2 linked regions of the Arabidopsis thaliana genome follow. The main gene of each other region encodes a partner of the protein of the gene in region 2 in a complex. Each region holds a gene or a part of one and is shown on either strand. Other genes may lie near its edges. The genes, in order: DRT111 and RRC1.

Region 1 (14,279 bases), on a different chromosome or scaffold from region 2:
TCTGACATCATTCTCTTTTTTATCTGCTCTTGAAGAATGTTCCACCCCTTGTATTGATTCGGTTCCTGAGAGAACACCGAGCTGAATGGGCAGACTATGGTGTCGATGCCTATTCTGCTGCATCTCTCAGAGCAACTCCATATGCTGTTCCATGCGTCAGAACCGGTGGGTTCCCGAGTAACCAAGTCATTCTTCCTCTCGCACAGACACTCGAACATGAAGAGGTACAAAGAATCTCAAGAACATTTTCCTTGTTGTCTATTCTTTTGCCATGCCTATAATCCTATTTTGCTTACTTGTTTCTCAGTTTCTCGAAGTGGTTAGACTTGGAGGTCATGCTTACTCACCTGAAGACATGGGCTTATCCCGGGATATGTATTTACTGCAGGTTTGCTTTATACTAAAGACACTCAGGGATTCTTAAAGATGAGTTATTGAAATTGAATTCTTGGTTTCTTTTTTGCTTTTGTCCAGCTTTGTAGCGGCGTTGATGAAAATGTGGTTGGAGGTTGTGCTCAGCTTGTCTTTGCCCCAATCGATGAATCATTTGCTGATGATGCACCTTTGCTTCCTTCTGGTTTCCGTGTCATACCACTCGACCAAAAAACAAATCCGGTAAAAAGAAAACTGTTTATGATAAGAAATTTGATATCTTGAAATTGACACAGTCCTTTTTCTTTTATTCCTGTATGTAACGTTACAGAATGATCATCAATCTGCAAGTCGAACACGGGATCTAGCATCGTCCCTAGATGGTTCCACCAAAACCGATTCGGAAACAAACTCTAGATTGGTCTTAACAATAGCCTTCCAGTTCACGTTTGATAACCATTCCAGAGACAATGTTGCTACAATGGCGAGACAGTATGTGAGGAACGTTGTTGGTTCGATTCAGAGAGTGGCTCTAGCCATTACGCCTCGTCCTGGCTCAATGCAACTTCCCACTTCCCCTGAAGCTCTCACTCTTGTCCGTTGGATCACCCGTAGTTACAGGTACTCTTCTTAGAACCTTAATCTAAAGACTTGTAACAATATAGAATGTGCTTATCTCATTTAATAACTCAATAAAATGTTTTTCTCCGATGTTTTAGTATTCATACAGGTGCAGATCTGTTTGGAGCTGATTCTCAGTCCTGTGGAGGAGACACATTGCTTAAGCAACTCTGGGACCATAGTGATGCCATATTGTGCTGCTCCCTGAAAACTAATGTAAGAATTCTGTTTTTTTAAGAGGTGCTCAATCTAGTTTATGGTTCGGTTTGGGAATTGTCTGATTATTTTTTGGTTCTCAGGCCTCACCGGTATTCACATTTGCAAACCAAGCTGGTTTAGACATGCTTGAAACTACACTTGTGGCACTTCAGGATATAATGCTCGACAAAACACTTGATGACTCTGGTCGTAGAGCTCTTTGCTCCGAGTTCGCCAAGATCATGCAGCAGGTTAAACATTTTCTAGCTAGTCTTTTAAGTCTTTCCCTGGAAAATACTAAGTTTGGATTGAATCTTCTTCAGGGATATGCGAATCTTCCGGCAGGAATATGTGTGTCGAGCATGGGCAGACCGGTTTCGTATGAGCAAGCGACGGTGTGGAAAGTTGTTGATGACAACGAATCAAACCACTGCTTGGCTTTTACCCTCGTTAGTTGGTCGTTTGTTTGATGAAGGAAAAGGTTGGTTATGTTAGATATTAAAAGTTAGGGGATGTTGTTTTTGGCTAAGGTTTGTTGAATTAGAGAGTCCATAACTCTATATGTAATATGGAAAAATTCTGATGATAATCTCTTTAATCAATTATGACATTATGTATGGCAAGATATTTATTTTTATTTATGTTTTGGACTTGTTTCGTTTTTCTTCATCTTCCTTTTACGAAATTTGATATATATATATATATATATATATATATATATATATATATATAGATAGATATAAGATGAATTATTATTAGTAATCTTATAAGTTTTTATCATGTGTTAATGTACAAATATAAACACAAAGATTGGCCTCAAAAGCATGTCGAATAAACTAAATTAATCATCATAGTTTTTGGCAAAAAACGTTTAATGGACTTGGTAGCTCATATGTAACATGAAAAATGTATGCGGAGTTTAGGTTGTATGCATAAATAATAATCATCCAAAAGATTAGATTTGAATGAATCTTTGACATTAAATGATCAATAATCATTACTAGTATTTATCTATTAAATTGAAATAGTATCTATCACAAGAAAACTAGTCATGATGATGCTGTTCTTTGACTTCTAGGCTGGAGGAACCTATAAACTTTTCTTTTGGGTAGTCTAGTTAGTAATGGAAGTTGATAAATAGCTTTTCTTTTGGACAGAAACCTACAAAACTCTTATGGAAGTTTTATACCGACCAAAAATATGGAAGTTTTATTTATGTACAATCTCTTTTTATCATTTTTCAGCATAATTTAAAGAAAATGGTGGAATATTTTTATATAACCAATAACAGAATTTTTTAAGTCTAAGGACAGCTATTTTAATCCGCTGTCTACATGAGTTATGTAAATCGATCGAGGTTTTACCATTTACGGATGAATGATACACACCAACCATAATCAAACCGTAAAAACTATTGAAAACCAGAACTAGCTACTACACTAGTACTAACTACTTAACCTAATGAATGAATAATTAACTAGAAAACGATAATGAAAAACAGATCAATAAATGAAAATGTGGGGCGGGTGATTTGACCGCTGCGTGATGAATGTGAATGTGGGGGCTCATGCAAAAAAAAAAAAAACATACAAGTTGAATTTTGTGTTGTGAAAAAAAAGAACGGTGAAAAGACAGAAGTGATTCTGTTTGGGACAGATCTGGCTTTGTGTAAGGAAATGCCTTACCCGATTCTGCCTTCTTCCTCCTTAGTCAACATTGCTGATGTCATTATTTCTCACCCATTTAATCCCTATAGAATTTATAAAAATGCAGTCCATATATTCAAAAAAAATTCTCATATGATAAGAGAATTGTGTATGTACAAACTTGCAAAACAAAATATACTTTTGAGTATTACTGAAGATGTCTAATTCCGTTACAGAAACTGAAAGACTGATTTGAATCAAACTGAGATTAAACTGATTTTTAAGGAAGGGATCAAATTATCATTCATGAATATGAATTCATTTTGTTTTTTTTTTTTCGGTTATAGCTCATTGACTTTCTGATTTTATAATATTTATGTGTAACCAAAGCCACCACTAAACCTCGGTAAAGAAAAAGCTCTGGTGCATATTTCATAAAATTAAAATGCTTTCTTATAGCAATTGATTAAATAATATTTTTCCCTTTGTAGCTTGCAGAGTTTTATAGCCATATATTTTCTAAATTTTTTTAAGAAATGTTATATTTTTTTTAATATGATTTTTCTTGTCATCCCAAAACCAAAACCATATTTTTTGCTAAGGAGTTTTGTTGTTGAATGTAGTGAACCTCTTTTTAGAATTTGTTTGATTGTAATTTTAAATATAATTGTTTATACGAATGGAACCTTTATCAAACATTTACTTACTGACATGAACATTTTGAGATGTCATTTGTTTGGCACAAAATCGGAATCTGGTTGCTATAGTTTTTAAAAAGAGATTTTAAATCAAACCTATGAAAATTAGAAACCGACTCCAAAAATCTAGAAACTTTAAGATTATCAACATCCATACATATACGTAATCCTCGTGACAAAGCATGTTACATGTACATACACTCACATGCACATGGCTGATGGCTGCCACTTGCATGCATGCATGGTTTTGTCTTGGTCACTGCGACTCACTAGGTATGACACTAGATCACATTTATATATATGTATCATATGTATGCATCTGCCTATGTTTTGTTTTTCCCAAAGTCATAAATAATTGAATTTCGCTGCTTGGCTGCGTATTTAAACTCTTGTGGAAAGCCTAGATGAGCTAATTTGGCTTGTTGTCTTTTTTTCGCTAATTCAAAATTTAACAACTAAGTTTGTATTGCTACAAAATAATTTTGTTACTATGTACTTCTGACTCACCGATACAAAATAATGCCACTATACTATAAGTCGACGTAAAGTAATGCCACAGACTCGCCGAACACATATCACGTGTTTAATTTATAAGTGTAGACTGATAATTTGTTAGCTCGATACGATGGAACCGGTCATGATGAATATGGCATTTTATGTAAATTGAAATTAGGGAATAATAGATAGCCATATAGTTTTAATAAGTGCAATTATGCATACAAGTATAAAACAGAACCTACAGGATCTACAATATAAAACTTTTATTGTGTTGTCTTTTGCGTTTTGTCTTTTCCTTCTTTTTTCTGTTATTCACAAAAGAAATTTTACGATACTCCAGAGTTTTGAAACTAGGGTAACACTATTTCAGAGTTTTCGTGTTTTTTTGGTAAGCAGTAGCAAAAACTGTTGGGTAATGCAGTGATATCTTATTGGCTATAATGTCAGTTTGACCCATTTAATTTCTTATAATTTATTTGACCCATTCATTTTCGTTTCATGTGTTCTGAATAGTTTTTTATCAGTGATCTGCTTCATTTTTCATTTTTGTTTTGTGTTTCTGGTAGTTGTTGTAATAATTAAGGGAAGATATCAAGATAGTGACTTTGAAAGTGTGTAAATGCACGAGGGGTCTATATAGGTCCAAAATTATTCGTAATATTTTGAACTTTGAATAAAAGTTTATTAAAGTATGGTGTTGAAAATGTAAATGTAGGTTTGATGATTGAGAGCTTTAGGACATTGAATTTTGTGCAGCACCAAAACAAGCAATACTTTTGATTTTTTCATGATACGGTGCTCCGTTTCCTGCAGGTTGATGATACATTGTCGTTTTACTTTTTTTAAGCTGTACATATTGTAACATTGACAAATTAACCCGTACAATGATTTCGATTTTTGTTTGAATATTGAGTACTGTTGTAAGCGTTTGTTTATGTTGACTGATATATATGTAGTGAATAATATACATAAAATATTACTTCTCCTATAATTAGTGCTTGAGAAATTAGGTGCCAATAAAAATGATGATCATACTAAAATGACTATAGAGAATTTTTCAATCAACAAAATGAATAAACGTTACGTTTTTATTTATGAAATTTATCTTTTGATCAAATATAAGAAGACTCTTTTTTTTCGTCATATAAGAAGACTCTTTTGATGCTATTCTTCTCATTAAAAGTTTGTACATTTCTGTGTCCTGAAATCAACGATTTTGGGCCTAGTAGCCCAAATTCTATTAACTCGATATTAACTCGAATCGTATACACTCGACCCATTAGTCTTTTTTGTTACTATATTGTCTCATGACCCATTAGTACTGGATTGTGACTATTTCATATGTTAAATCAAACCATGACAGAAAAAGCAGGAACATTTCTTGATCCTTGTGAAGCTACTTTGAACAACAATAAAGAGATAATCCCAAGATTTCTAAGTACTTTACAAATGTTTTTAAAACCTCATCTATGGTTTCTTTCTCTAACAAGAATCTCCTAGAAGATGAAGTTTCTTCTTTGTCTTAGGAGTTATTAATAGCCAGGGATTTCACCTGGAACTGGAGCCAACTCGTTCTTACTGAATTTCTCTTCATCATAGAACGTTGCACGTACGGTTCTTCCTCCAAAGTATCTCCCATCGAGGTCTACAAGGGCTTTAGTTGTTTCCTCGGGTCTTGAAAACTGAACAAAGATTCTTACTGCTTCGTGTACAGGGAAGTTCGGTTCAGTGATCTCGAATATCAGTACACGAGTGACTGTACCGTATTTGCCACACTCGCCTCCTACCTCATCTTCTAGCTCATCATCTACTTGTCCTGGCCCAACCTTCAGACACAGAGAAAACAGGTGATGGGTCAACCAGAATTGATACATGAGACAAGGAAGATACGATTTTTCCAACAAGTACTTGTTATGGTGAAAACAATCAGAATAACAAGAATGTGCCTACGTTTATGACAATCAATGTGAAGATGCATTCATTCACATACCAATAACTACATGGTTGGAATTTCCATCAAAAATTAGTCAAGAAATGAAAAAAAAAAACACAGAAAGAATAGATCTTGCGAGTTATTACAGTAATCCAAGAACCATAAAAATTACTTCATCAAATGCCAACCCCTACGGATTCATTTGTCAACTCTCTAGTATTTGGCAATCCAAGCTTAAAGCCTCAGGTTAGGCTATCCCCAAAAACCAAAGTACGGTTCCAAATGCTTATTTGACTATTTGAGGGAAAGATACTGTAACTTAAACTGTTGTTTCCAAAGAGTAGGCAATCTAAATTCTATAACAATCCAGCAGTGTACTAGGCTACCATAACATAAGTAACACTCTAAGCTACAAGCTTCACCAACAAAGAATTATCATCACAAAACTGCCAAAGCTTTTAACTTCACGATAGCTTGAAAAAATCAACATAGTCACAAAAGGTCCTACTTTCCAATGGCATCCCATTACTCAATTCCATTTCCACAGAGACATCTTTGTCAACCGTAATTCAATACTACGCCCTCACATGCTGCCAACAATTAGCAGTAACAATTTCTTAACTAAGACCACATCAAATGTTGGAATACATTAATATCATTCTAACAGACCGTTCTAAATCATTGTAGCAAAGTGTGTCCTAGTATAACAACACGTTTGATTTGAATAAGTTCTAAATTGACTTTGGCCTACTAATACTGATTCAACTAAGACTGTGGCATCCAAACTCAAGAACTGAAGAATCCATAAGCTGATAAGAGATGTTATTGAAACGCATACCATGTTTCTAAGAAGCAAAACCCTGGTTGGTTCACCATTGATATTAACACTCTTAACAACCTTCTTCTCCGCCGAAGAAGATTTATTCTCACTAGCATTGACAATGACACCAGCTCTACGATCAGTCTTCTTAGCCATCAATGGCGTAGTAATCCCTTGCTCTGATTTCCCAAGCCCTTGTCCTTGTTTCCATCCCATCTTCGCCATCATCCTCTGAGCAGCTGTCATCTGTCCACCTGCTCCTACTCCTAACCCACTCGTCTCCGATTTCCCAATACTAAACCCATCAACATTCCCCGGCGGAGACGAAGATCTTCCCTTCCCACCACTTCCACCACCACTCATAGCAGCGCGTCTCTTCCACGCTTCCTCACCGGAGATATTCAACCGAGACGGATCACTGTTATCTCTCTCTCTCTCCTTCTCCCTCTCTTCTCTTTCTCTCTTATCTCTTTCCTCATCCTCTTGCCTTCTCTTATCCATCTCTCGTTTCATCTCAGCTTCCGTAGCTTTCCTCTTCTTCTCCCTCTTATACTCCTCGTAATCGTTAGGTCTCGCTGGATCGTACTCTTCAATCACCGATGAAGTCACACCAACCAATGCAGGCTGATGCGAAGGTGCTGATTCGTTCGCCGGAATAAGCACCGATTGCGATGAATTCGAAGGAGGAGGAGGCTTGTACGGAGCCGAAACGATAGGTTTAGGTTTGTTGAGAGGTCTTAAGATTGTTTGCGGGGGAGCAAAAGCTGGTGGTTTGCGAAGTGTAGGTGGAGCCATTTTGGTACTGCTTGACCAGACGGAAGAGGAGTTTCCACTGGGTTTCTCATCATCGGTCGGTGGAGGAAGATCTCCGTATAATCCACCAAGCATTTTTTCGCCGCCGGTAAAGAGACTCAAAATTCACGGTTCGCTTTCAATTGGAAAGATCTGCTCAAATTAGGGTTTTTAATTTTTTCCGATCAGCCTTAGTAATAATAAATAAAACAAATATCATTTTGTTGGAAAATAAAAAACCGACAAACAAAGGAGAAATATTTTGTCCTTTTATTTTATTTTCTGGGCTATTTAGATTCTTGCAATAGAAGCCAACGCTTTAAAATTGATTTGTGCGAGAATTTTACATAAACCCTAAGAAAGATCTTTGTTTTTTCCGTCTTTTTGCGTTTTAGTCTTCAGGTGCGATTCACGTTCCTCATCTTTTTTGTTCTTCTTATAAACTATTTATTTGCGTTTCGTCCTCTATGATCGAGAAGCTTCGAGGAGCAACCAAAATCCCAAATTTTTCCTCGACAAAAAATCTACCTGCTTTGATCCAAATCTCTATGGGTTTTTATCATTAATCGAATTTCAAAATTGATGAATCCATAATTTTTTTCTCTATTCGATTTATGAGAAATTGATTTTTTTTTTTATTTTTCTCCCTTGTGAAATAGGTTAAAGATTATTGTTTTGTTGCTGTTTGTAGTTATGCCGGTAATGAATCCATCATTGTGTATTGGTACACAAACATCGGTGTACCTCGCTCCTCGTGAGAAATCTTTTACGAGTAATGGTATGTCTCTTCTAAATCTCAACACTTGTTGGCTCTTAAGTTTACAATTGCTTCTTTGGAAAATTCTTTGAAATTGAGTTTGGATTGCTCTTGACAAATTGAAGAAACTAGACTTGTTGTTGTTATTGATATCTCAGAGCTTTAGTGAGTGTTGTTGTAGCATTGATTCTTGCTTTAGTCCCATCGTTCGAGCTTGCTTTTATTGAATGAACAATGGAATTCTAAAGCTCTTCTTCTACTTGCTGTCTGTAATAGGAAACTCTCAAAGGCGTTATCCTACAAGCGTTTCTATGCAACGCCAGCCTTGGAGCCAAAGTAAATTCCCTTCTCTCCAGGATGCAGTGCAACCAGTTGTCGTCTCTAAGAATAAAAGACCAGTCTTTGCATGTAACTCTGCGCTGGTAGGTTCCATTCATGACTTTGCAGCCTTTAAGTTTAAGTGTTTTAAATCTTTAGCTGTTGGGATAACTTCATCACACACCATTTTGCTCACATAACTTAATTACACATCATAAGCCATTTTGCTTGTTTTATGAACAAGATCCTTTTGCTCTTATGGCCGATAATAGTTTATTTTCCGGTATTCTCTTCCTAAGTGTCTCTGAAACGCTAGCTGTTTACTTATTCTGATTTGTTTTCTGCAGAATTCAAAATGCAGTCAAGGACAAACACAGACCGTTACACGGCAATCACCAACAATCACACAAGCTCCTACTCATGGTAAATTGTTTCATCCCCTTCTCTATGTTGAACAACTATTTTGCGTTTCTAACAAACAAGAGGGGCTTAAAAAACCATACGATTCTAGCTAATATGAAACAGTTATTTTGAACTCAAATTGTGGCTTGCTATGGTTCTTATTCTTGAGAATGTGCTTTAACAGAAACGGACTGGTCTATTCTTGTTTGTATCTTCAGAATTTATTTTTTTAGCCTTAACTTAAATATCAGGAAAAGTTAAATCCCCAAAGCTTGATGACGGTGGAAACGGGTTCCCACCTCGGGATGATGGTGGTGGTGGTGGTGGCGGAGGCGGTGGAGGGAGCTCTTCAGGTGGATTCTTCCTTTTCGGGTTTCTTTTGTTCATGGGATACTTGAAAGATTTGGAGGGCGAACATGAAAACAACCATTAAATCGGAGGAAAACATGATGCACAAGCACAACAGACAAATCTCAAGACAAGTATTCTCCAAGAGAAATCTCTGTATCAAAAACAATAGATTCTAGTACTAGCAATAGGCACAGATTTGAGTTGTTATTTATGTTTTCTCTGTTGGGTTATGAATGAGATTCTTGTTCCGTGACACAAACAAAGCTCATCTTATCCAAATGTTTATGGAACCAGGTTTGGGAGATGCAGAGAATCACACATAAATGAATTCAAAATGTACCCTTGTTCTTTTGTTTTAAAAGTTTGCCAGACTTGAGAAATGTTCACTATCGGCAATTGGCAAAAGATACGAAACTTAAAAACAATTCTTTTGCTTAGTATATGTATCAGAGACATAATCAACAGAACAAGTAGCTTAGGTGACAACCTGTTTCTGCTCCCCGTAATGCAACTTAGGGTGCATCTTAAACGGTTGGGGTGCTGACTGGAACATGTTAACATTAGGTGGCATTGGAACTTGTGCTTGTTGCTGCATCATTAGTGGTCGTTGTTGCTGCATCATTGGTGGTTGCATCATTGGTGGATAGGGCATCATTGGATGCGGAGGCCGCAACTGCGACGATGTAGTAGAATTGAAGCCAAAGCCAGGAGGAACATTCTCAAACTTTGATGGGACATGCCAGTTTCGGTTTCGCATCGGTAAAGGCTGAACAACTTTTGATTTACTGCTGAAACACCATAAAAGAGAAAGCATTTTTAGTATCCCAGACTTCTTCTTCTTCTGCTGCATCATCTTCTCTTGGAATTGACGTTCCATGGGTTTAGGATCATAAGATGAATTAGTAGAGTCAGAAGAAGAGTAGTCTTCTGAATCACTGTTTAGATCATCATCATCAAGCTGGTACTTGACTGAGAAAAGCTCTGTTTTTCTGTCATGTTTATTAAGTTTACGAACCAGAGCCATGGGTTCTACGTCACCTCTGACTGTCATGAGCCCTTTTTCGATGTTATACTCCACTTCCTCTACACCTATTTCCATTGGAAACAAAGTATTTAAATCATCATGTTTAAAGACATATGAGCCACGCAATTAAAAGCTTTGAAGTATTTTTTACCAGAGATACTCTGCAATTTCATGCTTGCTTTTTTTTGGCAACCAATGCAACACTTTAGATCGACTTTTAGTATGCACGTCTGCAAAAATATACACAGAAAATCATTAGCAACTGAAAAACAGAGAGAGAGAGATAGATTGAAAGATTGAGAGACGGGAAGAAGTACCCGGACGGATTGGTTTGGGTTCGCCATTGAAGGAAGCTTGGTGAAAAGAAGAAGAAGCAAACCCTAAACTATGTAACTAGATGGAGAAAAAGAAATTGTACATAGGCATCGTTAAATCTTATATATGCAAGGGAGAGAATCAATAAACTTTCCATATTTAGCAGACTTTTCCATTAATAAGTTAAGGTAATGATACATTTATTGACGTAGATGATTAGTCATTACTGTTTGTTTTCATATCTTGATGTATATTTGAAGATTCTGGAGGATAATGAAAGCTTAGTATTTCAATTCTCCACAATGGAGATTTGCCAACGTTAATATCCAAACTCAAGCTCAGATATCTCATGTAAAGATTCTTTGAGTGTTTTTCATGATGCAAATTTTTGTGTCTGGTTTTCGTCTAGACCAAGCTCTCAATTCTTTTGAGTTTTGGTATGAAGATCTCCGAAATATACAATGTCTACTCGAAAGACTTTTGCTCTTGTTGCGATGACAGAATCGATTTCTCTGTTCACGACAGAAGCATCAAACAACAAGGAACAAGTGAAAAATTAATAGCAACAACTTTACAAGACACTTGATGAGTCTAGCTGAGGTAAAAGATTATACTAATAAAATATGAAAAGCTAGTAACAAATTTTGGTCGACAATAATGTTGAATAAAAAATACCGGATTTGGAGATGATACAATGAAGTAAACAAACAAGGAAAAGAAAAAAATAGAATAATAAATTGTACCCAAAACAGACAAAGCCCTTAATCAAACTAAACCAGAAGAAATTTTGTTTTATCAGTCAAAGAGACCCCCGGTTAAGTAAAAAGCTCACACTACCTTCTCTGGTTCCTTCACAGCCTCTTCGGTCTCTTTGGTATCTGCTTCTGCTGCAACCTCTGTTTCTTTTGTCCCATGAGGGCTTTCAGGTTCAGAGCTTTTAGCATCCGCATGAGATTCAGCAGGATCGGAATCTCTCAAGTTTCCAGTTACTTCAGCTCCACTCGCTTTTGGTGAGCTCTCTGTGGGTTCAATGCCACTAGCTTTTGGTGAGTTCTCAGTGGGTTCAACACCACTCTCATCTGGTAACTTCTCTGTGGTTTCATCGCCAGGTACACCTGGTGTTTTCACTGCACTTTTGTTATCAGTATCATCATCATCATCATTATCCTCTTTCTCAATTTGAACATCACCATTGGACAATATGGTAGTCTCCTCTGGGTTGGAAGAAGGTGGTGCGGTGGACTCAGAGGTCTCTCTCCACTCAACCCAAGCAGGTGACTTTTCAGGTTCTGGTTCACTCGGGTTTTCAGAAGGATGCTTTGATGTAGAATCCTCTGTTTCCATATCAACAGGTGGAGAAGAGGCTGCAGTGGCGTTGAATTCATCGGCTTCGCCTATGACGACATCATCATCATCTTCACCATCTCCATCAGCATTGGGTGAAGGGGAAGCAGCTGAGGTCATTGAGCGCTCATTCGCAGCTTTATCATCATCGAATGCGAACCAGTTTGAATTTGTGAAGAGAGAATCACTGCAACGACACCATGTTATATTTCGTAAGTTAAGGGACCACATCAAGCTCAAGCATATGATGCGAATCAACGGATTAATTTCTACCAGGAAAAAACAGTTGAACCGATTACCTCTCCTGGTCATCTCCAAGGCGCAAGGAGGATATGACGACTTCTGCAGATTCATCATCAAAGTAGACATCCTGCAACATAGACTTCATAAGAGGTTTTCATATCTACCATATCACTAAAGCTTCCATATTGGCTGCTTATAAAAACAGGCACAGGAGCCGCTGAGCGAGTTCTCAGAAAGGAGCAAATGAAAGACGTTAAAAATTTGAACCTACTTTTCCACAAATGGAAGTCAAGCCTCAATTCCTAAATATAAGGAAAAGACGAACAATACCTCATCATCGCGTTCCATAGAGCCTTGGGCCTGCAGTGGATAATATAGATATGTTAATGGTAGAACAATGTGATATGAGGAAAACAATGCAATGAAATCAAAAGCTCTGACGGAATTTAGTTGCTCAGGTTAACCGACTTTATCCAAGCTACTTCTAGGCTACATTAAAGATAATAAAGGAAGAGAAGATGGTCTGAAACCCCCAATGCTATATCTATCCAGTGGTCAACCAAGCAGAATGATTGAAGAAAGAAATGACGGTTTAACTATCCACCAAATACAGAGATTTGGTAACTGGATCCACCCCAGTGGTCCAATACATTAGCAAAACTTTAGACAGTATTGCATCCAATTTCACTATGTATTTCAGGACCTATCACAGGATGGCTAACATAAATAAAAATGAATTCCAAGAAAATTCCTGAATCAATTCCCTCCTTTGACTAAACAGTCTACACCCATGACATTCCAAAACTTATTGAAATATGCGGCCAAAATCTTGGATAATACTAATTTCCAAAGAAAAGTCACACGTAGCAGCTATGAAAAGGAAACACGAGAACATCACCTCATCCATGTCATCATTGCTGTAAATTCCATATCGAAAAGCCTGGCTCAAATTGTTTGCTAGGGCTGCCACATCATAATCTCTATCGTGGTAATCATCATCATCACTATCTCTACTACGATCATGGAGTGAAGTAGGCCTCCTGTTAAGAGCAATATCAATAAAAAGAATTAATCCATATACTGCACCAACCATCACTACTGCCTCTCATAAATAATATTTATCACCCCCTAAAGAACTTCCCAAAAGCAAGCTCTTATTGCCACCTAGTGAGAATGTGCAATCACATTTAACTTATCATATATCTTGATTGCTATTAAATCAAAAGAAAATTACACTAATGTGACAAACTTCTATATGAAAAATACATTTTAAGTATACATGCCTTTGGTAATAATTTGAAAACAGAAGCCGGTGTCACAAGGTTTCTTTAAGTCTAGATTATCTCCCTATAAGAGAAAAGAAATACATACCCGCAGGCCCAAGAGTAGACATTTTCCAATGTATTACGCTTCGACAAGACATCTGTCTGCCAGTCCACCCATTTGCTATTTTCCTGGTAAAAAATCGTAGCAGACAAAAATTAACAAAATATCAAGAGTTTGATACTAAAGACCAGCACCCTACAAGGCTAGAACCCCTCTAACCCAAACATCCTATCAAGGAAATATCTTTGGGAGAAGTAAAACAGGGATAAAGCTCTGAGAAAATTGTTTAAGCCATCTGATCTTCTATAAAATGTTAAGAAATGTCATATTCTCATCCAAAACTCATGCAAACCAGTTCTACTTCATATCTGCATGTGTACATGAATGTGTGGCAAGTAACTAAATTATTAAATCCCATAAGACAGAATTGTAGTATACCTGCAAATGTGACTGAATTTCGACATTGCTATTAGCTAGCTGAAGAAGTTTGTTGGAGATACGAGTCAAATGACCGATGTTTCCAATCCTGAGTGGCTTTTTACCCTCTGCAGGGACTGTAGGCTGAAGCTGAGACATCGCATGTAAACCAAGTTAATAAATAATGATGCCAACCTCAGACAT
Region 2 (17,148 bases):
TCATCAGTAAGCCCACTGACTGCATCACGATCGCTATCAGTGATAACCCGGTTCACATGTTCAGAAGATGGAAACGGTCCAGTCATGACGACATTCACATACGTTGGACGAGGTTGTCCTCCATTAAAACCAGGCCCAAATCTTCCTCTGCCACGACTTGTTGAGCCATTTGAATTTGATTTTCCTCTTGGGCGATCTCCCCACCACTCTGGATATCCAATCAACACAAAGCAATTTTCCGGCGAATGACCTCCACAGTTACAATGAGTACAAAGTTTCTTGTTTTGAAGCTTCTCTGAATTTGCAAACTTCTCTGAGATTACCTCAGAACGTAGCCGCATTTGAACAGCAAAAGCAGTGACATCGGTTCTCTCTTCATTAGACGATCTGTTGTTCAATATATCTTCTTCTTGTCGCACAATGTTGTAAACCTCTTCCAGCCCGGGGAGAGGAACACGAGACGTCAAACTTGACCGTATGGTGTGAAATTTAGTTTCATTCAGTCCATAAAGAAATTGATGAACCATGTCATCTTCTCGATCTTTTTCTTGGTCTGTTCCAAGATTGCAGATACACCTACCACATTTACATATCCGAAGAGGGCGATAGCTGTAGATATTATCCCAAATCTTGTTGAGTTTTCCATAATATCCTTCCACTGTCATACCCTCTTGCTTGCAAGTCGCGAGATCCGCCTTCATCTTCTGATTCTTTGGCCCATTAGAAACAGAAAAACGCTTCCGAATCTGTTCCCACAAGTCTCTCGCCACATCACGGTGAGAGATATTTGTCAGCAGCTCTGAGTCAATAGTCATCTTCATCCAAGAGACCAACAAAACATTAATCGTTAACCAATCTTCTAGATCTGGAGAACCATCTAGTGGTTGAGGAATGGTTCCATCAAGGAAACCAAACTTTTTCCTAGACCGCAACGCCGTCTTGAAACCACATGCCCACTCTTCATAGTTATTTGTCTTCAGTATCGGATGGGAGATCACAGCTCCCGAATTGTCAGCTGCCGTCAAGTCGTACAGCGAAATTGTGCGTCGGACCTCAATTACAGATGGAGGTGGTGGTGGAGCATCAGTCATAGCTTCAGAGAAAACTCACTTGAAATACTCAATTCGAAAAACACAGATTGCGCTCTGATACCATGAGAAACTTAAGACAAGATGTAGTTTGGTTTATGTTGTCTTATCTTATTAAAGAGGCGTTAAAACCTTACTTATACAAAGCAAAAGATATAACCTAAAGTGTTGCACAAAGGAAATGACTAAACAGGATATATATTGTTGACTAAGCCAACTAAAATATTGACCAGCAATAGCTTCAACACTCTCGCACTCTCCATAAAGCTTTTCACTACCTCATGGTGTTTCCTGTGAATTGTACACACAAATGATGATGATTACTATATACCAAAGAGTTTAACAGGAAAAAATGTTGCAATAAGTAATGGACCAAACTTTATGTTATTCTCACGTATCCAAATGCATAAATACTAAACAAAAATCAGAGCGGTTCCAAACATGCGTACGGTACGGATATTTTGAGTTATAGATCAAATACTGAGATCATGATTAATAGACTCCTAATATCCTACGCATATCGGATCAGATTTCAAATGTTTTGTCCATCCCTATATCACAATATACATGCATGATGAAATAAGCTTTCATTCTCACGACCAAAACCTTACCCTGCACGAATGAAATGAAATATGATTTTGTCATATCGAGCTAGGCGACAATCTGAGGTCATGGAATGTATGTTAACACCGCGGACCACGGTGCACCCAAGTCTCTCCAACTCTTCCACGTTGGCTTTTCCATTGTTGTAGTTACGACCTAGCCCATCTACCGTACACATAAAACATTAATCAGTAAAGTTGATAAGCTATATTGTTGAGTTTATTTTTCATGTAGTGATTATGCTAGTATATGATGATAACAATTAAAACAATATAAAACGATTGATGGTTTTAGATCTACTACTACCTCGAATATCAAAAGATGCTGCAGTGATGTTGGTGGAAGAACCAAATGCTTTGGCTAGGGACAAAGAGAATGAAAAATCTCCTTCACCGACCAGAAGTATTTGCTTATCACTATAGTGGCATACCATTTTACAATCTGCTGTTTTTCTTTTCACAACATGTCCTTATATACACATGTATAACACATATGGATGCATGAGTCAAATTACGAGAACTCGTATTAAATGTTTAGTTCTGTCTCTTCGAACTTTGTGATCATTGAAGTACGTTGAAGACCATTCATATTTCTTTTTTTTTTTGGTTCAAATTTTTTTTTTTACAACGGGTTTATTTTAAGTTTAGGACCATCAATTTATTTTGGCCCTAATAAATAAGATTATCATACACTGGAAGAGGTGACTTGCTATTTGCATTCTTTTTTCTAGTAATGAAATTATTTTTCTAAAATGCTTTCTTGATAAAGATTTATATTTGCGAAAAAAGAATATAAAAAAAGATTCATAGTTTCTAAAACAATACCAGAAGTTTTATTAGTTTTTTTGTAATAGGTTTATCAATGACAACCACCACAACATCCTCCAATGTTGAATATCATTAGAGATTGATCCGGGTTATACGTCAGAACGATATCCTTTTACAAAATAGTTTAAATTTTAAATTACATTTATTTTGTTAATATTGTTTGTTTTGTTAAGTATTTAAGATTATACAATTTTATTTCTTAATTCTATAATTTCACCGTAGTATTATCAGATGAATTTTGTAAAGACTGAAAGTGAAAATACTAAATACTTTAAGAATTTTTGGCTAAAAATCTACAAAAACGTACATGTAGATTATCAGTTTCAAGTATTTTATAAAATAAATAAAAAAAGTAATATAATAAAGAGTAACAACAGTTAGTAGTTGGTGGCAAGCTTTTGTCTAAGTCTATATAAATTATCAATAAAGGTGACAACAATATCCCAAAATGCTGGGATATATATATTTACTTTTGTTATAAAGAAATGAAAATGGGCTTTTTGGTATTTCATGATCAGTGGAGAAGTAGTGGTGACAAGATCTATATTTCACCCAACGATTTCCAAACACGTATTTAAAGAGGATATACTAGGTTAAGAAACACAAACAAAACTACTTCTGTTCCTTTGTTTGGCGACTCTTCAAAAAGCTTTTGGATTTTATTTTATTTTGGGAAATACTGGAATTAGAAAACTTATACACATAAATCAAATTCTTTCAGATACATTGTATTCTCTAATATACTTTAAAGTTACGTAATTTTAATTACAAATTCTTACGTTCACCTTTAACAACAACGAAAAAGGTTCTTCTTATGTAGAGAAAGAAAAGTCAAAAGTATTGATGAAGTAATATGGTGACTTTGATGCAAAACCAAGCTTAATTCCATTTAACAAAGAACTCATCTTCTTCTATTGAATTAATAACCTTATAAATTCTATAAAAAGCTTCTATTTTTGAGGTAAAATTGCAAAAAATAAGCAGAGGAAAACAGACAAGAATGTTCTTAGTAAGAGACAAAGAAAGATGTGTGTTCTGGTCAAACATTTAGCAGCAAAAGCTTTGACCTTTTCCTTTCGTCTCTCTTGATCTAAGTTTTATCCTTTAGTTTCTTTATTCATTTTCTTTTTCTTCTCTTCTTCTTCTTCAATGGTCATTTGTTGTTCATACGAAAACAGGGTCAACGAATGTGTGCAAATTTCATTTTTGTTTCTTGAGTTTAATTCAAGATTCATCATATTTGATTCCCAAATCTTTGATTTTTGACTTGCTTACATCAAAAGATTCATCCTTTTTTTAATAATCTGAGCTCAATCCAATCCAAGACATACCAACTTCAAACAACTCTCTTGTCCTCGCCCCTCGGATCTGTTTTTCAGACCAAACCCATATCAAAAGTTTCAACATTTAAGCTCAAAACAGAGCCAAATCTTGAATCTTTCTCCTCCTTGCAAGTTATGGTAGTAGAAGAGCAAAGCCTTGAAAACGGCGGATCCGTACATGTGGTCAAAGGAGAAAGTAATTTCCGTAATGTGGTGTGTGGTCCTGTACGGTGGCTAAAGATGTTGTCTTCAGAGCTTCATTGGAGCTTTGTGTTTGGTGTAGTCTCACTATATGGAATTAACCAAGGGCTTGGTGGCTCATTAGGTCGTGTAGCTACAGAGTATTATATGAAAGATGTTCAAAAAGTTCAGCCTTCTGAATCTCAAGCTCTCACTGCAATCACTAAGATTCCATGGATCATTAAACCACTTTGGGGCATTCTCACTGATGTTCTTCCCATCTTTGGTTTCCATAGACGTCCTTACTTCATTTTAGCAGGTAAAATCTCGCTCGAAATTTCGATCAAAGTCTCTTTGATTTCTCTTTTAAATGTACAAAACTCTGTTTTTGTAGGGGTGCTTGGAGTGGTTTCATTGTTGTTTATTTCACTGCATAGTAATCTACACCTTTACTTGGCACTGTTTTGGATGACAATATCAAGTGCTGCAATGGCGATTGCTGATGTAACCATTGATGCTTGTACTGCTTACAATAGTATCAAACATCCTTCTCTTGCATCGGATATGCAGAGTTTATGCAGTTTAAGCTCTTCCATTGGAGCACTTCTTGGTTTCTTTATGAGTGGCATCTTAGTTCATCTTGTTGGCTCTAAGGTTAATGAATCGTCTGTCTACTATGATCTTTTTCATTTGTGTTTCCTCTCTAATGCTGTATTTGGCTTGTTTTGCGACATTAGGGTGTCTTTGGATTGCTGACATTCCCATTCGCGTTAGTATCGGTAGTCGGGATCGTGTTTAGTGAGCCCCATGTTCCTGGTTTCTCTTACAAACAGGTAATAATTATTCTCTCTTTGGTAGCTTGATCATGAGGGTATTGACTCTTGTTGTATCATTTCAGGTGAACCAGAAATTTACCGATGCAGGGAAAGCGATGTGGAGGACAATGAAGTGTTCAGATGTGTGGCGGCCGAGTTTGTATATGTACATTTCCCTTACTCTTGGTTTGAACATACATGAAGGTCTCTTCTATTGGTTCACAGATTCAAAGGATGGTCCTTTGTTTGCTCAGGTATTACCAAAACAAATAGTTTCTATTTTCAAACTTCACCCCAAAATAAGTAATATGCTGAAGAACCTACCTGGTCTGTTTTAGGAAACAGTTGGTTTCATTCTCTCCATTGGTTCAATCGGATCGATTCTAGCAGCAACGTTATACCAACTAGTCCTAAAGGATCATCCGTTCCGCGGACTTTGTTTGTGGACTCAACTTCTCTTTGCTCTATCGGGAATGCTTGACCTCATTCTTGTGTTCCGTCTCAACTTAAAATTTGGTTTACCGGATTATCTCTTCATAGTAGTGGACGAGATAGTTTCTCAGATGATCGGACGCTTGAAATGGATGCCGCTGCTTGTCCTCACTTCAAAGCTTTGTCCCCACGGAATTGAAGGGACGTTCTTTGCATTGCTAATGTCAATTGACAATGCAGGCCTCATGACCTCATCTTGGCTTGGAGGGATAATGTTGCATGTCCTCAAGGTGACTCGGACTGAGTTTGGTAACCTGTGGCTTGCGGTTTTGGTCAGGAATGTCATGAGACTTTTGCCGCTTTGTTTTCTGTTTCTTGTGCCTAAAGGAGATCAAAACACGTTCAAGCTCCCGGATGAGATAATGGGCGAAGATTCGGACGAAGAGAAAGATGAAAAAGAAGGAACTCGGAATTTGGAATTGGCTTCTCTTGTTCACTCTGTTGATAGAAGATAGCTAGTGTTCTTTTATTATAGTGTTTGAAGCAAATGCTTCAGTTTTTCAGCAGTTTTGCCGAACTTCACTTTTACTTCTGGAAAGTGCAAAAGGCACACACTACATTTTTCTCTGAATGCATAACAAGTTTGTGTGTTTTTGGTATAGAAGAAACAATTCTTTGTGAATTTGGGGACCTACCTAATCTACTTACATTTCTAAAATAGTTCCATAAGAAAAACAAGAATCCAGTAGAAGAAACAATTGAGTGAGAAATCTTTCAGAAATTGGGATACAAAATTACAAGCTGTGTCTGAGAACAAGTTCTACAATATCTTCTGGATTTAAAAACACAAAAGGTTAAAATCTTGAGAACAGACCATGAGGTGAGAACAAGCATAATCATCATTATCATCTCGTGCCTCGTCTGCGCCAATCCCTGTCTCTCTCTTTGCTTCTATCATTATCGTCTCGATCGTGGCTTGAACTCTTTTCACGTCGATCTCGATCCCTGTTCAAATCATGTTGCCTATCTCTGTCTCTGTGTCTCTCTCTATCCCTGTCTCTCCCCAAGTCATGATCTCTCTCCCTCGTTGATGATTTCCGTGGCGGACTTTGGCTCTTGTTTTCCCCACGGTGCCGCTTTTTAGAGGACTCTTGTGAATCTTCACGCTTCTCCTTCCGCTCTATTATTGATTTCTCTGCAGTTAAAATCAATGTGTGAATACCTAATTTAATAGTGTTTGAGACGCATTAATAGTGTTTCACTCATTGTTGCATCGAATGGAAATAGAGCAAATTAACAACCTTTCCCAAAACAAAAGAAGAGTATGTGTATGTTGGGTGAGAAGTAAGAACTTACGATTTCTGTTGCCCTCGTTAGGTCCTGATAAGCCATAATCGACTTCAAGCCTCTTTCTGTTTATTTCTACTTTTCTCTCTATCTCTTCGGGGTTTTTCATCCCCTGTTCCTCAAGAGTTTCACGATACTCTATCAAAGCAACTTCTATGCGTCTCCGCTTTTGTCTGCAGTAACAAAAAACAGAGCAAGGGAGAAGTCTATTGAGTTTCAGATTATACAATTGAATAGCAACTTCTACTGAAAGTAAGTTCTCATATTTTCTTGTTAACTTTAACAGTATTGGTGCAAGCTCATGTATGGGTAGGTAAGGCACATTTGGGTACATACAATTGATGCATATGCCCAAAAGCTTTCTATGGCTCTCAATTATCCAACTTAACCGGGTAAGAGCCAAAATACAAAATAATGTGTACTCTATAAAGACCAAATCAATTGAAGTTCACAAGAACACACCTCCCTCACTAACATAAACTACCCTTACGCTGATGTTACTATTTCGAGGAATTCTTTGTTGTTTTTAATGCTCAAGCACCAACATGAAGCAATAATGCAAATTGGTGTTTTTTAATCTATATTTTGCTTGCTTAAGTTACTTTCCTAATATCTTTTCATAAAGAGATGCATTGATCATACCTTTGTTCCTCGTCCATTCCGTTGTCAGGTTGGGCACGGACACAATCATTTCCCTTGAGATCCTCGCCATCGGCCTTGAAAGTTATCCCACCAGTATTGTCACTTCCTGAAGAGGAGCTCCTCTTTTGTTCATCATCAGCTTCATCATCGTCTCTCGCCCATTTTGAAGCTGGCAATATGAGTTCATTCTTCTCTTTTCCCACAAAGGCTTTCAGCTCAGGCTGTGGGATTGGTATTGTCGTGGGTAGATTCACAGGCTCTTTCATTTCAACCTCTGCGTAGCTGTTCTTGATATGCTCCCGCTCACTCTTAACTTCTTCCCAAGTTGAATGGTTTTGCGGATGCTTTGGAATTTCATCCACTGCTTCATAGCCGCGTTGTTTCTCTGTGTCTTCAAGGCTTAGTAGCCGGGTAACCATCATTACTCTACCTCCTACAAGAGACAGTCCGTTGTGCCGACAACGCCTCTCAAGCTCAGCAATTGGTAAATTCATCAGCTCTTGCCTTGCAGCTCCTTTGCCTATTGCCAGTGCAGCATCTGGATTTATCTTTCCAATATCACTCATATTGTCAGCGTAACTTTTGTTCTCTATTTCAGGTGCATCACCGCAGATAGAATGAAATGAGGTAACACCAGAGACTCCTGATCGGAGAAATGTGGAACGTAGTCCATATATGTATGCGTCTGAAAAGAGAAACCAATCTGCCCATACTTGCAGTACTTTGAGAACCCGTTCCTGCAAAAAGTCAGAAAGAGTTTAGAAAAGTATATTTATAAGGGAATGAAAACCATCAACGATCATTTTTCTTTCTGACAGTACTTTTAGAGCCTCAGCAGTAATTCTTCCAGTTATGCTTCGGTACAGATCATTGAAGCTTTCCATTATATCAGGTAGAGTTGCTTCGAATTTGGTTCGGTATGCAGATGCATTTTTAACACGTGCACTGCTATTATGAAGAATATCAGACACAAGCATGAGTCTAGCAACTTTGGTTGGAATTGATGTCTCTTTTAGAGTCAGGGACTCCGTCAAAACTTCAACAACCTGTGGAATTAAGTACACATATATAAGTAGGAAGAGGCATATGAATATCTATTTTATTAACGAGTAGTTCTGTTCAAATTTTTTGTGGTGTCTAGAAAAAACCAACTAAATGTACTGAAATATATAAGTCAGAACATATTGTACCTCTCCAGCTGCATCTGCATTATCTAAAGCGAAACCCATAGCTTCTTTTATCTGACTCCTTTCTAAAGTAAGAGCACGCAACATGTCCTCGAACTCATCCCTCTGAGGATCGGTCAGAGTCCTCTCAACTTCCGCACGCTGTAAGATTTAACAGTGTCAGGTATCCCGCACACCAAAAGAACAACTTAGCTAACAAAAGAAAAAGAAATAAATAAATTAGAAGTAAGAGTGCAAGAAGATTACTCTGGTTCTTCCCGCCGCATAAGTGCTGGCAGACTCTTTTTCGTGCTCCTGGGTCCTAGTTACAGGCAGTGGTGGCGGTATCCATCTGCAATAAGAGCAAATAGACAGTGTTAATACAACAGATGTCATATGCAAAGGTAAACCAACCGAACACCCGGATCAGTTTCAAAGTTGGCAAGGTTCAATACCTTCCACTACCAGTTATCATGATATACGGCTCTGTTCTCCACCTTTGAAGTGTATCACCCTAAACAATGCAAAAATATTCAATCAGCTTATGACAATGCAAATATATGCCTAGTTAAAAGGCAATCAAAATGTACCTGAGCGAAGGAATATAGTCTCCAGACGTAGTAAGTATGCTCCTTTGAGCCAAGCTCGAACATAAACTTGAACAGTGGATTCCCACGGCCCCTCTCCATGATAGCTTGTTCAAAAGCACATTCACCATCCAGAACATAGAGTGCCAATGTATCAATGACATGTCTGAGGTGCTCGTCCTCAGGGGTAACAACAGTGATATCCGGAACATTAGGGGTAAGAACCTGTTCAATGCAACGGAAGTACATATGGATTAAGATTATTAAAGACGGGCAGCTGTAAGAGTGTCGTCAACTATAGGTGCCGTATCAGCAAGTTACTTGAATCAGTATCATTACAAACAAGAGAAGCATTAAGTACTGAGAAGTTTCAAGTATCTGGGGACTGGTTTAGTGCCATTGGGGGTTTGGAAAGTAGAGGATGCACTACAAATAGAATTGATCCCAAGTTTGGTTTTTAGTTCTGCTTTTGTCTTTCATTACTTTAAGAAATAAAGACAATCAATTCTGAAACTTAACAGTAACATTTCTGGACTATAAAGTAATTCAAAAGCCTTCCACGAATATCATATAGAACTTATAAAGAACCAATTCAAGCCATGTGGAACCAAGTTTACATACCAGCTCAGAATTTTGATTTGGAACAGAAGTTATTATCGGTGGACCCGTTTGACCAGAAAAAACCAAGTTGCAGCCCTGCCAATGAAATATTTAAAGTTTTTAGAGTTAAACTAAAGAGATATAAAACTGGCAGAACTTTTTATGCAAAAAATGGCAAGGAAATACCAATAAATTCAGAGATCGGGCCATACATAGGTTAGTGAACAGAATTAAAGAAGAAATATATCTAGAAGAGCAGCACAGGATGCATCACAAACCTCCTTACTCCGAATAGCCATATGTCCAGGTGGTGGAGCGGGTAATGCTTGTGACGGTAGAGAAACTGCTTTACCCCATCCAATTTTCAGTTCATACTCGTACACGATGATCCCTGTAAAATTGGAAATTTTCCTTCATAACTTTCTTTAACATTGTCACATGCAATCAGGTATATAGTTAGTACAAAACCAGTCGACTATAGACAGATAGACTAGTCAATAATGCCAGAAGGGTCATTAGTTTCCAACATTAATCAACCACTGGGTATATGTTTCGATCAACAAGGAAACCAATCAAATTTTGTTGAACTGAAGTACTCAAACTAATATGCCTAAAACGTTTCTTGTTCAACTATCCATTTTAATCTCTCATATATATCACACATGTTGCATCTACCTAGAAAATGATTTCTAACCAAGGCTAAAATAGAGAGTCCTAGATAGAAGAGAGGCTAGCTAACCTTGCATTTCATCTTTTGCAGCTTGTCCATCAGCCCTATTCATGAAGGAAACAAAGCCACAGTTTCTTTGTCGCCTCTTCTCCTCATCTGTTCTTGGCCACATAATCTTGACACTAGCTATGGGCCCAAATCTTCCGAAAGTGCGCAGAAGGAAATTCTCATCAACCTACGTGAGCATAAAATTATACCTTATGAATATTAAGAATACAATGGCGAGAGAAAACAACATATGATCCAAGTAAGAAAAGAAAAAACACCTTTGGGGACAGATTCCCAACATACAGATTCGTAGTTTGTGGGTCACCATCGTCAAACGATCCTGGCCTCCCACTGGGATCAAAATCATCAGGTAGCTCATCAAAGCGGCTAGATGGCTGAATACAGAATAAGTTTAGTATAGAAAGCCGGGAGTCCAGAGTAAATATGAGAGCAGAACACCGATGAAGAGAGCAAAAGAGTATGATGAAGAGAGCACAAGAGTATAATGAACTAACCGAGCTATCGCCCTGACGGTCACGATCCTGGTTTCGTCTTTCTCTCATTTCTTGTTCACGTTTCAACTCCTCCATGAAATTATCTATATTTCGAGTCTTTCCCTTTTCTCTTTCCCTAGGCCTCTCCTCCTCCCTCTAGAAAGATGAAATAAATGAACTTACAACTAAATAATTGTGCTTCAAACAACAAACCCAATGAACAAGAGAATTACAGTGACAAAATCCATGCTACTGACCTTCTTCTCCGGTTCTTTACCCTTGGATGCCAGTGGTGGTGGAAGGAAAGAGGGAACATACCTACAAAGATTAAGTGGACGATAATCTTCTATATAACAAGAATACACGAATGAATTTCAACTTATCAAGCAATACCCAAGAACATCATTCCTAAGACCTCAGCTAGTTACAAATACATGATTAATAATATTTTACTCAAGCCTGGTAACAAACATATCAAAAGTGTATAACTCATCAGCAAAATCACGAGCGACCAAGCTCTTTCGATCTACGATAGCAAAGCGAGATTGATTCAATCAAAAGCAATCAGTTTTACCTACTCCCCTTCTTTGAAACCGAACCCCCATCTTTGGACTTTTCACCTGCCATCCGCGAACGCATAGAAAAAAGGTCCATACACTTATTAATGCGTTCCCAATATAATCAAAGCATTGCTCTAACCATTTGACACCAATCAAAAAGAACAAAGTACACACAAAGAGAGAAGCAATTGTAAACAAACAGTTAAAAAGCTGTGTAGCCTTTGCAAAGACTAACCTTCAGAATCAACCTTAGGCTTGTCACCAGGATTTATCGTCCCACCTCGAACAAAAGTCTTAGTAGTTGCATTATCCCCTTGAAACGATTCCACGAATTCTTGATACAAACGAGCCGTTTCATCCTCTGCTTTCTGCGATTAAGATCGAAAACCCCATCGATTAATCAATCAAATCAATCTCCGATGAACAAATTTCTCAAATTCTACCCAGGAATAGCGATGAATCGATTGAAAATTTCAACTCACCTTCTTCCTAGCTTCTTCTTCTTCTCTGTGTTTCTGGAATGGTGTTTTCTTACGAGTGATCGAGAATGAACTCATTGTTTCAGCATCCAACTGCTCCTCGGGAAACTTGTACCCAACGAAACAGAGAAGCCGAATTGATGATTGAGAAAGATCAAAGTAGAAAGATACGAAGACTATGGATTCTGATTCGGAACTAGGGTTTGGATGAATCGAGAAAGGTGACGATTGATCAGGAAGCGAGCTAGGGCTCGAGGAGAGAACACAAGACGAGCTAAAAACGGGAGATAGGGAAAAATAATAATTAGGATAAAATATTTGTATTTTCAGTCGTCTTTTAAGAATTTGTGGAATTTTAAATTAATTATTGCGTAAGCATAAAATTTTGATAAATAAATTTAAAAAGTTACATATACAAAAAATGATAATAAACAAAATTTAAATCTAAATTGATATTTATTATAAACTGGAAAGAATATATTGTTTCAAAAATAAAAACTTTTAAAATAACTATGAGTGTTAACATATATTTGTAATAGAACAAAATTTTTTTTGCTGTTGTTTATAAATTATAACTAGAAGAATTGAAATTTGAGATTGAGGTTAAAGAGTTAACGTTCTATTTAATAGAGAGATTTAGAGAGTGATATAAATAAGAAAATACATATTTAGAAGTGATTTGGAGTAAGTAAAATTTTACATAAACTGTATCTTTATATATTATTCCCACAAAGAATATTTTCATATATTTAGAGTTGGTTATCTTAGTTAAGAATGGTTCAGATGATGATGAAGTAAAGTTCATTATAGTGGTTTCCTAGGCTACAATTCCACAATGGTATCAACATCTTCAACTTCTCTATGTAAAATCATAGCATCCAAGAACATCCCACTTTGTTACTTACAGCGAGAGCCAGACATTTCGACGGAGAGGTGTCATAAGACTACTCAAGTCCAATACAAATAAAAATTCAAAACAGAATTGCCATAACGAGCCAAGTTTACAATTTTTAAATTACAATGACTAGTAAGACAACAATGTTTACCTACCAAATCAACAGTTTGATCTAAAGTAAACAGAGAAACAAAGAAAGTATATTCCAACAAAAAAAAGTTCCTGGTGTTTCTATCCTCGTAACATTTTGAATAGAATAAGCTTTCTCTCTTTTCTTTGAACAACCAAATCGATCAACACATGGATCCCAAAAACAACCAAACAAAAACCATATACGTGGACTGCGTTATGGAGCTTAATGTTGTTGATAGATTTACAAAACCAACCATTCGGTTCTTTTCCTTGATGATTCAGGACATTCCTGTAGTCCCTAGGATTGAACCTGAAGCAGTTTCAGAGTTAAGATGGAACAGATTCCACCAGTTCTTGTAATTTTTTCAGACCAACGGTGGCTATGAGTTCCATCGAGACAAAAACTTCATTAGATTTTGCTTTCTCTTCTTCCTCTTCCTCTTCTTTGAGACCGCCTGTGAGTTTAAGCTTCTCTGCCTCGGATTCTGCTTCTTGCGCTTCCTCAAGTAGAAGATTAGCTTCTTCAAGGTCGCTCAGTTCCAGAGCAGCTGATCTCTCAGCTTTTGCAGTTCCACTGTCAATCCGCAACCTCTGGAATCTACTAATAGCCAATTCTTTTTCTTTCGACAAAATCAACTTCTCTATCTCTTGTAGCCTCTTGATGGTTTCTTCAATCTCATGCTCTGCTTTTTCGAGCTCAGCGTTAGCTTTTCCTGTTTCCATCTGTGTCTTATCCTTTTCTAAATTTAAAGACTTGGCTTCTGCAGCTATTCTTCCAGCTTCTTTAAAATTTCTCGTTGATGCAGCCACTTTCTTCTCTGCTTCAAGCTCCGGCATCCTTTTCTCTATGAACATAATTTTATCCATGAAAGATGTAATGTTCTGTTGGATGATCGACTTTTTAGAAGATCGCTCCTTAAGTAACTCTCGGGTACTGGAAACCTCCTCTTGTAGCTTCTGTACTTCCTCAGAAAGCTTCTCTTCGATATTTACAAGCTTAGCTCTCTCTTCTCTAGTTTTAGACACATATGACATCAAACCTTTCCGCAATTTAATAACTTCCTCATATTCACAAGCTTCATCCGCTGAAACACGGGCAAGATCACGAAGTTTGGCTCCTCTCTCCTTCTCAGATGTCATGAACTCGTCCACGTCTTTCTTCTTCCTTGATAAATCTTCAGTTTCCTTGTCAACCTCAGTGAGACCAGCTTGCACATCGTTTAACATTTTATCCATACTTGTTTGCAATTCCTTGAAGCCAGTCACCACATTGTTAATTCTTTCCTCAACTGCCTCTATTTGCGAATCGTTCTCGTCAATCTCCTTCTCCTTTGCCTTCACCAAAGCAAGCAGCTCCTCAAGTTCATTTGCCAAATGTTCTTTCTTCTTCTGCAGTATCTCCTTCTCTTTCATATCTTGTTCAACAGATCCCTCAAGAATACCATTCAACGACAACCGAACGTTATCAACAACAACAGATTCTATATCCAATTCGACTTTTCTAACCTCAACATCTTCAGAACATGAATGCCATTTCTCCATTTCATCTGAATAAAAAGCTTCTGCTTTCTCCAGAATCGATCCAGCATCATTCTCAGCATCCGTGCCAAAACTACGAAGCAGACAGGCAGATTCTTCTTCAGCTGCAATCTGAGAAAGAAGAACCTCTTCCATTTTCGACTCAATAGCATCGCAATCAGATTCCGCTTGGCGAAGCAATGCCAACAATGCTAGCCTATCTCTTTCCTTAGCAGCGAGGCTTTCGCTAATCCTCTCAGCCGCATCGAAATCCTCTGTCTCGATCGCTTCCTCAAGCTGCTTCTCGAGCTCTTCGTGCGTCGTAGAAGCTAATCTGAGATTCTCAGATGCTTGCCTTTTCTTCCTAATCGCATTCTTACGAGCAGAAGTAACCGAAGCAGCCAAATCACGAGAACGATTTAGCTTCGCTTCGATCTGAGCCTTAACTAACTCCAACCTTGAGCTACCATTACCAACAACCACAGTAACAACAGGAGAGTCTAAAGATTGATTACCGGAATCAAACACTTGCGCGACGGAATCAGATATTTGACTAACTGAATCTGATACTTGACTAACGGAATCGGATTGTTGACTAACGGCATCATCTTCGTCTTCGTCGAGATTGTTGGTTTCGTGCCTACCGTATCCAATTCTTAATCCAGCCGCTCTCTTCTTCCTCCGTGACACCTGACGTCCATAATTCTTCGCCGGAGATTGATGAGTAGTGATAACTGCCTCCATCGGCTCAGGTTGGTGTTGAACCGGAGTCACAATCGTTAAGTCTGAAAACAGATTCTCGTCCAAAGCCTCCGTAATATCTGGCTGAGAAGTAGCCGTGATCAGTGTCGCCTCCGTCACATCTGGTTGAGAAGGAGCCGTGATCAGTGTCGCCTCCGCCGCCTTGGTTTCTTCAGATTGAGGCGGTGAGCTTACCTTGCTGTCACCGGAGAACTGAGACGCCGGTGTAAAAAGCTCCATCCCTTCGAACAGGGAATCCATATCGTCGCCACCATCCATCGCCGCCGATCTGATCAATCACCGATCTGATCTACATTTGAGTTTGAAACCTTTTAATAATTCATAAAAATAAATTCACTAGTTTAATGGGCCTTAAATGTTTGACTTGTCTTGGGCCTATTAACGGCCCATATTTGATAATGCTGACGTCACTCTTTCCCGATTGTGTTAGCGCCTCTTCATCTCCATAAAGATAAAAATTTCAACACTTGTCGGCGACTCAGAGAATCTAACCGGAAACCTAATCTCTTTACCTCTGAGTCTATCTACGCCGGATTTTTCAATTTTCAAATTCTCGATTCGATTGAAGATGGAAGGAGGTGGAGGAAGTAGCGGCGGAGGAGCTGGAGGAGTGGTTCCGGAATCAGCGATTGAAGCGGTGAATCAAACACTTGCGTACCTCAAGGAACTGAAGCCACAGCTTGAGCAGATGCTGACTTTAGCTGAGCCAGAGGTTCTCGCTGCAATGCAACCATTACAGCGAGCTAAGACTATGCACTTGCTAGCTGAAGCCACCACTACTCTTTACGAACGTAACACTCTTTCTTCTTTGTGAATCTGTTTCGATTGAAGTTTGTTTGTTTGTGATAAATTTGAATTTTTTTGTTGTTTTGTGTGTTTACAGTGAGGTTGAGATGTACTGGTGTTGATCCTGATGATCATCGTGTAAAATCTGAAATTGTATGTGTCTTTGGATGTTTTAGTTCTCTTATTATCTTGTTAACTTAATCAAAATGGTATCTTTTGTTGTTTGATTGATGGTAGTATTGGTTTTGTAGGAGCGGATAAACGTGTACAGAGAGAAGTTTCAGAAGTGTGTTGATCAAAGTAAAGGTAAAGATTGATTTTCTGGTGCCTGGATTGATTTGTAGAGAGATCAAAAACTTGTTTGGTTCTGTGTGTCTTTTGGTTTAAACCATTTGTTTCAGTTTGAATTGGCCATTGTATTGTCTCGTGGATTAAGCAAGTTTTTTTGGCTTTCTCTTTTCATTGGAGAATTGCTGCTTTCAATTACCTTTGTTGGGGGATAATATTTCAACCATGTTCAAGGATTATGCTCTCAGCTTAGAATTTATTTAGCCTTTCGTAATTTTAGAGGCTAATAGGTGCTAACGATTTCTTAAGCGTTAAATGATATCCTCTGTGTACCTTATTGTTGATTAGTACATTTTGAGGACTTGCGTTTCTGATCCTTTGTTTGTTGGGATTATGTATCTGCCTTATATAGTTTTCCTTGTTTTGTTCGATGTTTAGTGTTGATACTATTTTTCGTAGATATGATGATTTTCTTTAAAAGACTCTTTATTGCTTGTACCCATCTTAAATGCAGGGAAGTAGTGTTTCCATTAGAAGGCTTTCTCTTTTCATTGGAGAATTGCTGCATCCATTTACCTTATAAAGTTGTTGGGGATAATATTTCAACCGTGTTCAAGGATTTTGCTCTCAGCTTAGAATTTATTTAGCCAGTCTTAATATTAGGCAGATAGGTGCTAACCTCTTCGTTGATTAGTACATTTTCCGAGGACTTGCTTTTCTGATCCTCTGTTTGTTGGGATGATGTATCTGCTTTAGATTGTTTTCTTTGTTTTGTTCTATGCTCAGTGATGATTTTATTTATTTTTGGTAGATATGATGATTTTCGTTGAAAGACTCTTTATTGCATGTACCCATCTTAAATGCAGGGAAGTAGTATTTCCATTGGAAGGCTTTCTAATAATGAATC

The links.
Region 1: RRC1 (region 2) and DRT111 share a complex: the UniProt entries of both Arabidopsis thaliana proteins name them as parts of the SWAP1-SFPS-RRC1 splicing factor complex.

The regions. Positions count from the first base shown.
Region 1 is NC_003070.9:10,783,710-10,797,988, reverse strand, and holds DRT111 (D111/G-patch domain-containing protein), read right to left. Parts: upstream 7,968-14,279; 5' UTR 7,675-7,967; coding exon 6,805-7,674; intron 5,860-6,804; coding exon 5,566-5,859; 3' UTR 5,264-5,565; downstream 1-5,263. Other genes in the region: PHV (Homeobox-leucine zipper family protein / lipid-binding START domain-containing protein), read left to right, coding at 36-224, 308-388, 475-615, 704-993, 1,092-1,209, 1,293-1,442, 1,515-1,661; AT1G30475 (uncharacterized protein), read left to right, coding at 8,046-8,130, 8,270-8,356, 8,612-8,757, 9,001-9,076, 9,307-9,488; AT1G30473 (Heavy metal transport/detoxification superfamily protein), read right to left, coding at 9,882-10,495, 10,582-10,660, 10,748-10,774; AT1G30470 (SIT4 phosphatase-associated family protein), read right to left, coding at 11,574-12,276, 12,389-12,459, 12,663-12,692, 13,231-13,372, 13,704-13,786, 14,097-14,225. UniProt on the Arabidopsis thaliana protein: As a member of the SWAP1-SFPS-RRC1 splicing factor complex, modulates photomorphogenesis by regulating the gene expression and pre-messenger RNA (mRNA) alternative splicing of a large number of genes, including those involved in plant responses to light signaling, probably by helping in the 3' splice site determination.
Region 2 is NC_003076.8:8,628,047-8,645,194, forward strand, and holds RRC1 (RNA recognition motif (RRM)-containing protein), read right to left. Parts: upstream 12,172-17,148; 5' UTR 11,939-12,171; coding exon 11,864-11,938; intron 11,750-11,863; coding exon 11,617-11,749; intron 11,442-11,616; coding exon 11,396-11,441; intron 11,140-11,395; coding exon 11,079-11,139; intron 10,978-11,078; coding exon 10,843-10,977; intron 10,723-10,842; coding exon 10,606-10,722; intron 10,515-10,605; coding exon 10,349-10,514; intron 10,001-10,348; coding exon 9,888-10,000; intron 9,706-9,887; coding exon 9,631-9,705; intron 9,235-9,630; coding exon 9,013-9,234; intron 8,937-9,012; coding exon 8,878-8,936; intron 8,775-8,877; coding exon 8,690-8,774; intron 8,585-8,689; coding exon 8,447-8,584; intron 8,303-8,446; coding exon 8,078-8,302; intron 7,994-8,077; coding exon 7,257-7,993; intron 6,788-7,256; coding exon 6,624-6,787; intron 6,463-6,623; coding exon 6,173-6,462; 3' UTR 5,783-6,172; coding exon of another isoform or gene 5,174-5,782; 3' UTR 5,090-5,173; downstream 1-5,089. Other genes in the region: AT5G25050 (Major facilitator superfamily protein), read left to right, coding at 3,976-4,339, 4,415-4,674, 4,758-4,853, 4,919-5,089, 5,174-5,782; AT5G25070 (neurofilament light protein), read right to left, coding at 13,215-15,425; AT5G25080 (Sas10/Utp3/C1D family), read left to right, coding at 15,736-15,958, 16,051-16,106, 16,205-16,259. UniProt on the Arabidopsis thaliana protein: As a member of the SWAP1-SFPS-RRC1 splicing factor complex, modulates photomorphogenesis by regulating the gene expression and pre-messenger RNA (mRNA) alternative splicing of a large number of genes, including those involved in plant responses to light signaling.